Lepisosteus oculatus: one gene and its partners. The protein of the gene in region 1 binds, or shares a complex with, the protein of each later gene. Links are inferred from orthologs where the notes say so. Each region holds a gene or a part of one and is shown in the gene's direction. Other genes may lie near its edges. The genes, in order: polr1h, polr1f and taf1b.

The links.
Region 2: polr1h (region 1) and polr1f share a complex: the UniProt entries of both Homo sapiens proteins name them as parts of the RNA polymerase I (Pol I) complex. The link is inferred for Lepisosteus oculatus from reciprocal best matches to the Homo sapiens genes POLR1H and POLR1F.
Region 3: polr1h (region 1) and taf1b share a complex: the UniProt entries of both Homo sapiens proteins name them as parts of the pol I pre-initiation complex. The link is inferred for Lepisosteus oculatus from reciprocal best matches to the Homo sapiens genes POLR1H and TAF1B.

Annotation. Positions count from the first base shown.
Region 1 is NC_090709.1:41,007,996-41,011,748, reverse strand, and holds the start of polr1h (DNA-directed RNA polymerase I subunit RPA12), read left to right. Parts: upstream 1-1,334; 5' UTR 1,335-1,444; coding exon 1,445-1,613; intron 1,614-2,365; coding exon 2,366-2,506; intron 2,507-3,544; coding exon 3,545-3,648; intron 3,649-3,753. UniProt on the Homo sapiens protein: Core component of RNA polymerase I (Pol I), a DNA-dependent RNA polymerase which synthesizes ribosomal RNA precursors using the four ribonucleoside triphosphates as substrates. Can mediate Pol I proofreading of the nascent RNA transcript.
Region 2 is NC_090705.1:1,841,305-1,845,057, forward strand, and holds the start of polr1f (DNA-directed RNA polymerase I subunit RPA43), read left to right. Parts: upstream 1-1,331; 5' UTR 1,332-1,379; coding exon 1,380-1,669; intron 1,670-3,526; coding exon 3,527-3,668; intron 3,669-3,753. UniProt on the Homo sapiens protein: Component of RNA polymerase I (Pol I), a DNA-dependent RNA polymerase which synthesizes ribosomal RNA precursors using the four ribonucleoside triphosphates as substrates.
Region 3 is NC_090697.1:11,859,644-11,863,396, reverse strand, and holds the start of taf1b (TATA box-binding protein-associated factor RNA polymerase I subunit B), read left to right. Parts: upstream 1-1,142; 5' UTR 1,143-1,231; coding exon 1,232-1,249; intron 1,250-1,835; coding exon 1,836-1,934; intron 1,935-2,271; coding exon 2,272-2,365; intron 2,366-3,417; coding exon 3,418-3,515; intron 3,516-3,753. UniProt on the Homo sapiens protein: Component of RNA polymerase I core factor complex that acts as a GTF2B/TFIIB-like factor and plays a key role in multiple steps during transcription initiation such as pre-initiation complex (PIC) assembly and postpolymerase recruitment events in polymerase I (Pol I) transcription.

The DNA of each region.
Region 1 (3,753 bases):
CACTCCAGTACATGAACACTGCACTGAGAGAGAGAGGGGTTCACACAGACACACTGACTGGACACAGCAGTTCCCTAAACACGTCTGGTTAGTGATCCCCACAGGAACAGACTGCCATTTTTCACACAGGAGTGTTCACAGCTGTGCGTGGCGGAACAAGGAACCTTAACAGAGTGTCTCGCCACCCTGTTACTCATTTAGACGAGAACATATGATCTTTTAAATGCAGACGTGGATCCGCACTCGTTCAGGACCTGCAGTCTCTGAATCCAGCAGTCCCACTGAAGGCGGTGTTTTTGCGGTCACACACGCACGAAGATCTGTACAATAGTACCGCCAACCTCACCGTGCTGTGGAGGGGACATCTTGTCCCGGGACAAACGGGCTCCGACAACAACCAGCCCGTCGGTCCCTTTCGACCGATCGAGCAGCACGACTGACAATTTCCAGATCCGTGTTTTTTTTTTTTAAACTAGCGGATGTAAAACCGCGCCGGACGTGAGCGAGATCGGGGCTACACGGGGGATCACCCCCCCAACTCCCACTCCCACGGACACGCGAAAGCTCACGGGACGGGCTCAAGCCGTGTCTCCGGACCGGACCGGACCGGACCGCGGGCACCCCGAGTGGGTGTAGGGGCGTTAGGAAATCCGATTTTTTCCCGTCTGTTCGAGGTTTTTTTTGTGTGTGTGTGTGTAAAACTACAATGGCCCAGTGCGGGTTTTTTTTTTTGTTCTTTCAAAAAGACGGGCCCAGTCGCGCCACCCAGCAAACCGCCCTCACGCGAAAAACAAAAATTCCCTTCGAGAGAGGAGTCACGCCGACCAGCACGGAGAAGAGGCGGAAGAAAGCGGTTTATGAGGAGAAAAAAACCCGCAAACGGCGCGTTGAGAGGAGGGGGCGGGTGGTGGTTTTTAACCGTGAAATAAAACGCGTTTACCTTCGAATGGTTTCTCCGTCTCTCGCAGCAACGACTTCGGGGCGTTTGGTGACGTCACTCGGGTGCGCCGGCGCCGCGACCCACCGTCCCCCTCCCTCCCGTTTTCCCATGATGCACTACGCGCAGGACTCCCGTCTTTTTCCCCTCACAACCTTTTATTTGTTTTTTTTTTTCCAAACAAAACAGAAAGGGTGTTCACAAATAAAAACGCACAGACACAGAACGGCACGCGGCCAGAGGTGATTATAACCTAGCACACAATCAGTGAACATCTTTACAGACGTGAGGTGTGTTTTTCCGGGTTTTTAATGGAAATAATGTTTCGCTTTCACCATACAAAAACATTGACGGAGGGAGAAGCCTCAGATAATTTTGTTTCTGATTTCTACCCAGACTATTAATAGATTCATGCATAAATGTTCTTATATAGTTCGTATTACTATAAAAAGCACTTAGATACGGACACTATAGAATAACAAAACAAAGACAAAAAGTGTTTTTTAAATGCCGGCGCGCATTGAACGTCACTTCCGTTGCCGGGCTGACGTCATGCGCCCCAGCAGTCCGCAGCCAGGAAGAGCTCTCGACTGTGTTTGTGTTCTGCGGACGACACGTGTCTCGGCGCAACAGCGAGGTGAGGGCGACAGCTACCCGCGACTGACCTCCGATCACGGTAGGGACCCCCTGATATAATGCGGAATAGGCGTTATCTGGGACGGTTACAAGGACTCTTAACTCGGCGGATGGTTGTTCTTAAAGACCAAGTTGGAACGGCGCCTACAAATAGCGAGTAAGAGACCGGGTCTGACGACCTACAGGATCAGTGACCACAGCCTGGACACAGACACTGGTCACAGGCAGACCTGGCTGTCCAGAGAGGACAGGCTCAGTGACCACAGCCTGGATACACACACTGGACACAGGCAGACCTGGCTGTTCAGAGAGGACAGGCTCAGAGTGACCACAGCCTGGACACAGACACTGGATACAGGCAGACCTGGCTGTCCAGAGAGGACAGGCTCAGTGCCCACAGCCTGGATACAGACACTGGACACAGGCAGACCCGGCTGTTCAGAGAGGACAGGCTCAGAGTGACCACAGCCTGGACACAGACACTGGACACAGACAGACCTGGCTGTCCAGAGAGGACAGGCTCAGAGTGACCACAGCCTGGACACACACACTGGACACAGGCAGACCTGGCTGTCCAGAGAGGACAGGCTCAGAGTGACCACAGCCTGGACACACACACTGGACACAGGCAAACCCAGCTGTCCAGAGAGGACAGGCTCAGTGACCACAGTCTGGTTGTAAATTTTAAAGAGGCCAGGTTGTTCTCTGATAGTGGAATTTAGTCTGGGTTTCGAGAACGGGGTCGTGGCGGTGCGCGCCGGTCGCCCCGAATTGATCGGTTCCCCTCCGCAGCAATGTCAGCAGACGCCCTGCCCGGCTCCTGTTTCCACGGCGACCCGCTGTTCTGCCCGGAGTGCGGCACCGTGCTGCCCGTCCCCGGCGTGGAGGACGTGGTGAGCTGCCGGCGCTGCGGCTACGACATCGGCGTGAGCGGTCAGTGGCTCAGAGCAATTGATTGATTGATTGATTGATTGATCGATTGATTGATTGATGGATTGCGTTTCCCTGTGGGTGGCGCTGTTTGGCACCAACTAACCTTACCAGACCCCTGGACTGACTGGACCAGAGTCACAGACCCCTGGACTGACTGGACCAGAGGTCACAGACCCCCTGGACTGACTGGACTGGGGACACTGACCCCTGGACTGACTGGACCAGAGACACAGACCCCTGGACTGACTGGACCAGAGGTCACAGACCCCCGGACTGACTGGACCAGAGTCACAGACCCCCGGACTGACTGGACCGGGGACACAGACCCCCGGACTGACTGGACCGGGGACACAGACCCCTGGACTGACTGGACCAGAGACACAGACCCCTGGACTGACTGGACCAGAGGTCACAGACCCCTGGACTGACTGGACCAGAGGTCACAGACCCCCGGACTGACTGGACCAGAGGTCACAGACCCCCGGACTGACTGGACCAGAGTCACAGACCCCTGGACTGACTGGACCAGAGGTCACAGGCCCCTGGACTGACTGGACCGGGGACACAGACCCCTGGACTGACTGGACCAGAGTTACAGACCCCTGGACCGACTGGACCAGGGACACAGACCCCTGGACCGACTGACCCCTGGACTGACTGGACCGGGGACACTGACCCCTGGACTGACTGGACCAGAGTCACAGACCCCTGGACTGACTGGACCAGGGACACTGTCCCCTGGACTGACTGGACCAGGGACACAGACCCCTGGACAGACTGGACCAGAGGACACAGACCCCTGGACCGACTGGACCAGGGACACAGACCCCTGGACTGACTGGACCAGAGTCACAGACCCCTGGACTGACTGGACCAGGGACACTGTCCCCTGGACTGACTGGACCAGGGACACAGACCCCTGGACTGACTGGACCAGGCACACTGACCCCTGCTCCACCTGTGTGAGAGGGGATTTGCCCCAGGAGTGTGCAGGGCTCAGTCCCTCAGGAGTGCCCTCTCTCCCCCTCTGTGCTGCAGAGCTCGCTGACCAGGTGGTCACCTCGTCGGTCGTCTTCAACAGCCTGGAGTCCAGCAGCACCGCCATGATGTCCGAGGAGGAGGGAGAGCTGAAGGGCCCTGTGGTGAGTGTCCTGGGGTCGCTGGTCCCTGACCTCTGACCTGGGGTCAATGGTCACTGGCCCCTGACCTGTGTCCTGGTGTGGCTGATCCTTGACCTGTGTCCTGGG
Region 2 (3,753 bases), on another chromosome or scaffold:
AAACCCATATCCTCTTCCATGCAATTTTTTTCTTTGATTTTGTACAACAAAAGACTTCTGTTACTGGGGAATTTGAAGAAGCTAATTGCATGTGCCATGTTCTGTAATGCGCTTTGTTTTGTGCTTCTATTACCTTCAGCTGTTTAGAGCAGGATATGAGCTTGGAGACAGGCCCCGCAGGTACAGGCCTCATGTTCCTGCTCTGAGAGTAACAGCCATCTATCTCCTTAATACCTTTGCCTTTGACCAGCATTTACTTTGTTCTCACCTGACCTTTGACCCACTGTGTGGAAACAGACACCTTTTATACAGTACATTAGTATCAATCAATACTGTTCAATAGCCCATCACCTCAGGTGCTGGTAAACTTAATTTTCTTTGAACTGGTTTTTGGGCTCAGTGTTACAAGAGCAGAAATTCAAAAGGCTGGTTGGCACAATCTGTCACGATCCTATCTGGAGGAACGTCCTGTTGAATTGACCATTCAGTTTCTCTCAGTTGATAACTGGTCATTTGTTAACTTAACATTCAGTAATATCACGGTGTCACTGTTCTCATTCCTTACATCAAGAGATATATAACATATAATACAATTTCATAGAGAGAAATAAAAGCAGCTCATAGTGTCCACGGTGCCTTTGATGTTAAGCAAGACTAGATGCAGAAACACCATGAAATCCACATTTTTCAGTGAGTTTTGGGTGGGGACTGTGTTGTGTGTGATGAAAGATGGAAATTTAAAGATTAATCTGTATTTTGCCTGAAACGTATTGCTGAATTAGATTGTTCAATGGGATTATTGAAGTTGTGATATTTGAAATGTTGTCTGCAACCCTTCAGAGAGCGCAGCTGTATAATACTTTATAATTTTGTATAATTTGGTGTTTCCTGACTTGTTCAAATGTTTAACATTTGAGTTTTTAATGCTTGCTTTGTGATGGAATGTTTAAGCACGTAACACGGTTGAAACAATTGGTAAATAAGGGTTATTTCAATATTTTTAAAAGCCTAAAACCCCGAATATATTCTTAAAATACTCTTATAAATTCAAAACCAACATTTCATTTTTCTAACCATTAAGAGGGCTTCTTTACAAGGATTTTCTTTTTTTTTTTTAAACAACGAAAAACCTGGAGCTGTGGCAGGGTTTGTGTTTCCTGTCACTTTTCTGAATTCTCGTTCATCTGCAACATGCAAGAAGAAAACGCAAACCCACCCGACTGAAACGGCACAGCCTCCACCAGGCCAGCAGGTGGGGACATCACTGCAACTGATCATTAAATACTTGCCCCTCATCTCCTCCCCCCCAAAACCCGTGACGTTTGGCACGACACCACGTTGAGAGCTGTGGGGAAAACTACTTTACGGCAGCTGGCAGCATGGCGGCCGCGGAGCAGGACGACTCCGAAAAGGTAAAAAAGATTTTTCCTCCGGTGTCCAGCTCCAGTCCACCGCCTGCGCCAGAAGGTCCGACTTTGGAGCAGAAGCCGGTCGTACAGTGTCTGATTCCGGCCTTTTCCGATGCCTGTAACCTGGTAGACGCGCCTTACTCTTGCCTGGTTGTGGACACTCACCGGAGGCACATCGCTCTTGCCCCGATGTATCTAAGTAAGAAAAGGACGGGAATCCAGGATCAGCTTAACACGGAACTTCTGAAATATTCAGAAAGGTAGGAAACTCTCAGCCTGGGGATGGTCACTATCGGTGATATATCGGTGTGTGGTAGAACGGGTAAGCTGGACGTGAACAGTTACAGCATGGATACATCGAGCATGTGTACTGTATATATAACAAGTATAACTCCCTACATGCATTAACAGTTCACTTTCTGGGTAAATGTGACGGCGGAACATTTGGACTTAAATGAATCTGCAACTTAGGCAGTAGAGCATGGTCTCAGACTCACTTCCTGGAGGGCCTGGTCAGTGCCTTCTGCCTTTAGTGACGTTTGAGCTCTGAATTCAATGCAGTTTGTGTAATTATTTATAATAATAATAGTAATAATAATTGCTTACACTTATATTGTGTTTACACTCGAATTGCTTTACAGGTAATGGGGATCCCCTCCACCACTACCAGTGTGCAGCCCCACCTGGATGATGCGCCAGTCTGCTCCCCACACACCAGCTCTCAGTGGGGAGGAGAGCAGAGTGATGAAGCCAATTCAGAGATGGGGATTATTAGGAGGCCATGATTAGTAAGGGCAAATGGGAAATTTGGCCAGGATGCCGGGTTTACACCCCTACTCTTTTCGAGAAATGCCCTGGGATTTTTCCTGACCACAAAGAGTCAGGACCTTGGTTTTACGTCTCATCTGAAAGAAGGTGCCTGTTTTACAGTATAGTGTCGCCGTCACCTTGATGCAATTTAATTAATTAAAAGCCAGCAGCCATATCACTCTGCAACTCACAACTGGCAGCCCACTGGAGCTCAGCAGGTGTGAGCCTGGTCAGTACCTGGATGAGAGACCTCCTGGGAAAAACTGAGACTGTTGCTGGAAAAGGTGTTAGTGGGGCCAGCAGGGGGCGCTCACCCTGAGATCCATGTTGGTCCTAATGCCCCAGTATAGTGACGGGGACACTATGCTGTAAAAAGGTGCCGTCCTTTGGATGAGATGTAAAACCGAGGTCCTGACTCTCTGTGGTCATTAAAAATCCCAGGGCGTTTCTTGAAAAGAGTAGGGGTGTAACCCCGGCATCCTGGCCAAATTTCCCATTGGCCCTTACCAATCATGGCCTCCTAATAATCCCCATCTATGAACTGGCTTCATCACTCTGCTCTCCTCCTCACTGATATCTGATGTGTGGTGAGCGTTCTGGCGCACAATGGCTGCCGTCACATCATCCAGGTGGGGCTGCACATTGGTGGTGGTTACCTGTAAAGTGCTTTGAGTGGAGTGTCCAGAAAAGCTCTATATAAGTGTAAGCAATTATTATTATTATTAAGTACTCAAACAACCAAGTCACGGACCTCTGTATTGTGGTTTTAAACATGTACCTTCTGATGTAGATATAACTGATCCCAAGAGACATTTTGCTGTGATTTCAATTCATAACAGTTTATAGTGCTTTTTATAATTTATTTCATTGTTCTGTTGTAAGATGTATAACAATAGTAAGATGCAAAGAAACAGGTAATGGGTTTATTCCTTGCTGAAAAGAAAGGAAACGCAACCTTTGTAGCCTACGCATGCTGATGCAGCTACCTGCTTGAAGTAGTAAGATGCTTGTTTTTGTCAGTGGTTTGGCTGGAAATGACTTAAGAACAAAAATAAAAAGACTGGAGTGTTAGCATTGAGCTGTTTGAAGATATTATTGGTACCAAAAACACATGAAGTTAATGAGTGTCAGTGGTTTCCTTCCATCTTTTCCTGAGAGTGCTAAACGTCTGATCACTTAGTGAAATAGTAGGAACACATCTTTTAAACTGCTGCATTCTACTGCTTACTCTTAGAGCCTGGATGGATATTCTGAAGCAGTGTCTCTTTACAGCAATGTTGTGCATCTGTGTTTTGTGTTCCTTCTAGTTTAAAAGGTGTTCCTCTCGCCTATGACAACATTAAAGTTGTGGGAGAACATGGACATATCTATGATGATCAAGGATATATCCATATGAACATAGAAGCGTCCTTCGTTATCTTCCAGCCTAAAAAAGGACAAAAACTTGTGGTACGTATGTCCGCTGACTGCCAGCAGAAATACCAATTAGTGTGAGTCATGGAGGTTTGAGAGTATTCTAGATCAGAGCTTCCCA
Region 3 (3,753 bases), on another chromosome or scaffold:
TATTCATCATTGCTGTCTATATTTGCACAAGCCTGAGGAACCTTTTCATTATTCATCATTGCTGTCTTTGATACAGTATATGGAGACATCTCCCCTGTCATGAAGCATGAATCCTGTCATTTATCAGAGACGAGGAAATACCTTGTGTCAGATGTTTCAGAATATCATCCCCATTCCCTGCAGTTGTCTAATTCCCAAGGTACCAAACAAAAATGCCAGTTTCCTCACACTGAAAGAGGCCCCATGGCCAAAACGTTGTGTTTCTCTTTTTTTTTTTACATTTCTGCATGGAATGAACCTTTACGTCTTAGTTTACAGCCAGCACATGCTGACACAGCTCCCTACTCAAAGGTCAGCTAACGACTGTGACAGACTGTGTATGTGGAGATTATGGGCCAGTTGTTCATTAGAAGTGGTCTGAAAAGATTAGCGACTCATTTAGTAGTCTAATATCATCATAGCGTTTCTGTTTTCGAACTGAAGCCGTGACCCATTCCCACAACTGATAAAATGTGCAACACGATACGCATGATTTCAGGCAATGGTGTTTTCTATTATCTCAGCTGCTCTTATGCTGTTCAGATGTTGTACGGTAGGTAGATATCTGCAGGTTATTTCCAGGTTAGGATCTCTGCACCACAAATCTCTGCAGTCATTAAAGTACTATACAGGAAAGCTGCCCCAATGGGTTCTAAGGTTTTAATCGGAATCTTAGAATAGAAATACAGCTCATAATTTTCTCCAGCCCTTTAAAACACCATTTTTACACAGATACTACCATTGAATCTGCAACATAACTTTCAGCTAAATTCGCTTAATCCTCTTACTGGCGTTTTTACACTTGCAATCTGAATCACGATAGTGAAGTGAAGGTCATGTGATGGTAGCTAACTGAAAAATCTGATGCTAAACTTAATAAAACGAAATCATCTGAAACTAGGTCGCTACCGCTAAAGATTCATTCGCCTACAAAAACCCTAAAATATTCATATACATTCTTAAACTTAAAAAGATTATCTGACTTTCTCTATATATCATATAGCAAAACGAAACACAGATAAATACACAGCCCCAATCAATAACTAACGTATGTGTGCATTTTGCATACGCCTTGTTACAGACGCTCACGGTTGCAACACGACAGCATTTAAGTGTTACACCGGAAGTACCGCATGTTTGTAGTAGTTACAAACATTGAAGAATGTGGACTGTATATACCTTTTAATACCTCATGGATGATGAACATACTGTAAGTTATTTACTGATTTAAAATGATGTTACGGTACTGACTTTGCTTTTGCGAGGTATAGTCAAGGGCGATTGTACTGCCAAACTGTCTTTGACGTTGTATTATAGCAAGTAAACGTTTTCCACTTAAGCTGATGAAAAAACACTTCAATTGCGTTTGGTCGTATTTTAAATAACGCTTAAAAACTCTCCCAATGCGAAAACGGAGAGAAGAAAAATCTGGTCTATGAGACAGGTCAGACAAACCATGGGTTGATAGCTATTTTCCAATCAAAACCTTCAACCCTTACCGGGGAACCGATTAACGATATGCTAAAATAAAAATAACATTATTTTATATATTGTAGAAAAGAAAAAAAAACGCTTTAAAGAACACTATACAGTTCATTTAACATACATACATGTCTCAAAAAAACAAATCGTAATCTGTTTTTTGGGCAAAATGTACCCATGCTACTGGGGATCACTGGTGATTCCAGGAGTGACATTAAGAAGAGTTTGGTGGAAGCGACACAGAATAAGTGTGCCTGCGTCGCCTTCCTCCGTGTTTCTGTACTGTATGTCTTGTGCGGTGCTGCCTCTTGCAGAAGGACTACCGGGAGCCGTGCCTGGTGTGCTCCGAGGTGGACTGGGGGCTGACGGATGAGGGCAAGTTCTACTGTAGGTCCTGCCAGAACGTCATCGAGGTGAGGCAGACCTGTTAGATTATTAGGAACAAGTAAAGGCTTATTCCCTGCTGAAAAGAGAAGAAAGGAAACAACGTTTCACGCTGGGGAGCCTTCTTCGGGGCGTTGTCTATTTTTTTCTCTTTTCAACATGGAATAAACCTTTACTTGTTACTTTTTGTAAGTTGTATGTTATTTAATGTGTTGTTGCTGCTGCTGCCCTGTGTTTTTTTATGTTTCCTTTCACAGACCCACAGTAAAAAACCTAGACTAGAATCCATATACTATATAGCCCCTTTGTGTCTGACTGTCTATCTCCCAAATGCTTAAATTCTCACAACTGTTCTTGTTGTAACAGAGAACCAAAGAATTGGACCCTGAGGACGTCTTTTGTGGTTCCAGCTCAAGAATCTCCTCTATTTCTCAAAGTCTACGGCAGAAGAAAAAACTAGGTTAGTTAGTCTTTGCTCTTAGGAGAGGTTTGGATGTCAGTTTTGAAGACGTGCTGCGGTTCCAAAGCTCTTTCTCTGGATACTCAATATTTTATTCATTTTGCATCCGGAATTTGAAGTTGTTCTCATATGTGGGTTTTCACCTGAGAGCCGTGACCTGTGTTTATGGGAAGTGATGGATGCTGACTTCACGTACTAGAGTGTTGTCTGCAGCAACTGGGAACCTGCAAAGCTTCATCATGTATCAGTACCGGTTGTGACGGCAGATCTCTCCTTTTTGCTCTGTTAAAATACTATGGGCTGGGTATAGAAAATGACAGTTCAAAATCTAAAAATGGAAAAACAAGCCAGAAAGGAATTTGGCCAGGATGCTGGGGTAAAGCCCCTACTCTTTTCGAGAAACATCCTGGAATTTTTAATGACCAGAGTCAGGACCACGGTTTTACATCTCATCCAAAGGGTGGTACCTGTTCTACCGTATAGTGTCCCCATTACTATATTGGGGCATTAGGACCCACGCAGACCTCAGGGTGAGCGCCCCCTACTGGCCCCACTAACAGCAGCAACCTAAGTTTTCCCAGGAGTCTCCCATCCAGGTACCAACCAGGCTCACACCCGCTGAGCTTCAGTAAATTTTCATTTGTGGGCTGCTGGGCTGCTGCTGCTGTTGCCCTTGAGAGAGAGAGAGAGACTTCACTCAGATTTCTGCTGTGAATCTCCTGCTGTATACACAGGTCTCCAGGCTGTCTCCATTGCAATTGAGAATTTCTTTTCAATCGAGGAGGTAAAATAACCAAATACGTCAAAGGATTTCCATATCTGTGAAAACAAAAGGCTTCTGATTTGCTGAGCTTAATTATTGTGAAATATTGCTAGGTTCGCATGTCATGTTGCAGCTCTTCTGAAGTCATTCTGAGTGGGCAGCTCTGGATGTGGGACTGACCTGAACTGCTTGGCTCTCTACACTTCTCTAATACACTACATCCCCCTTCTTCACTGCTCAATATTTGCAATATTTGTCTCCCCCCCCCCCCCCCGGGCGGTTATTTCAGAGCGAGGCCGGGAATGGATGGTGTGTGAGGCCTTCCAGTTTATCCTGCAGAAGCAAGCCAGCGCTCTCCTGGAGATGGGCGTGGACCCACAGTTCAAGGTACCGGGCTCCACGTCACGGACTGGGGGAGGCTCTGGGCGCGGAGAGCCGCTGGACCTGGGGCGCGAGCAGAGCAGGAAGCCGATGTTCCTCTTTCGTCTGCTCCTACTACAGAGCAGCACCAAAACAGAATCGGAAAGTCTACAGATTCCCGCAAGATAAAGCGCACAGCATTAACAAAGCCAGCATCCTCCCGGCTCATGTCCTTTTTCTGGAATTGGTTTGTTTATTCGTATTG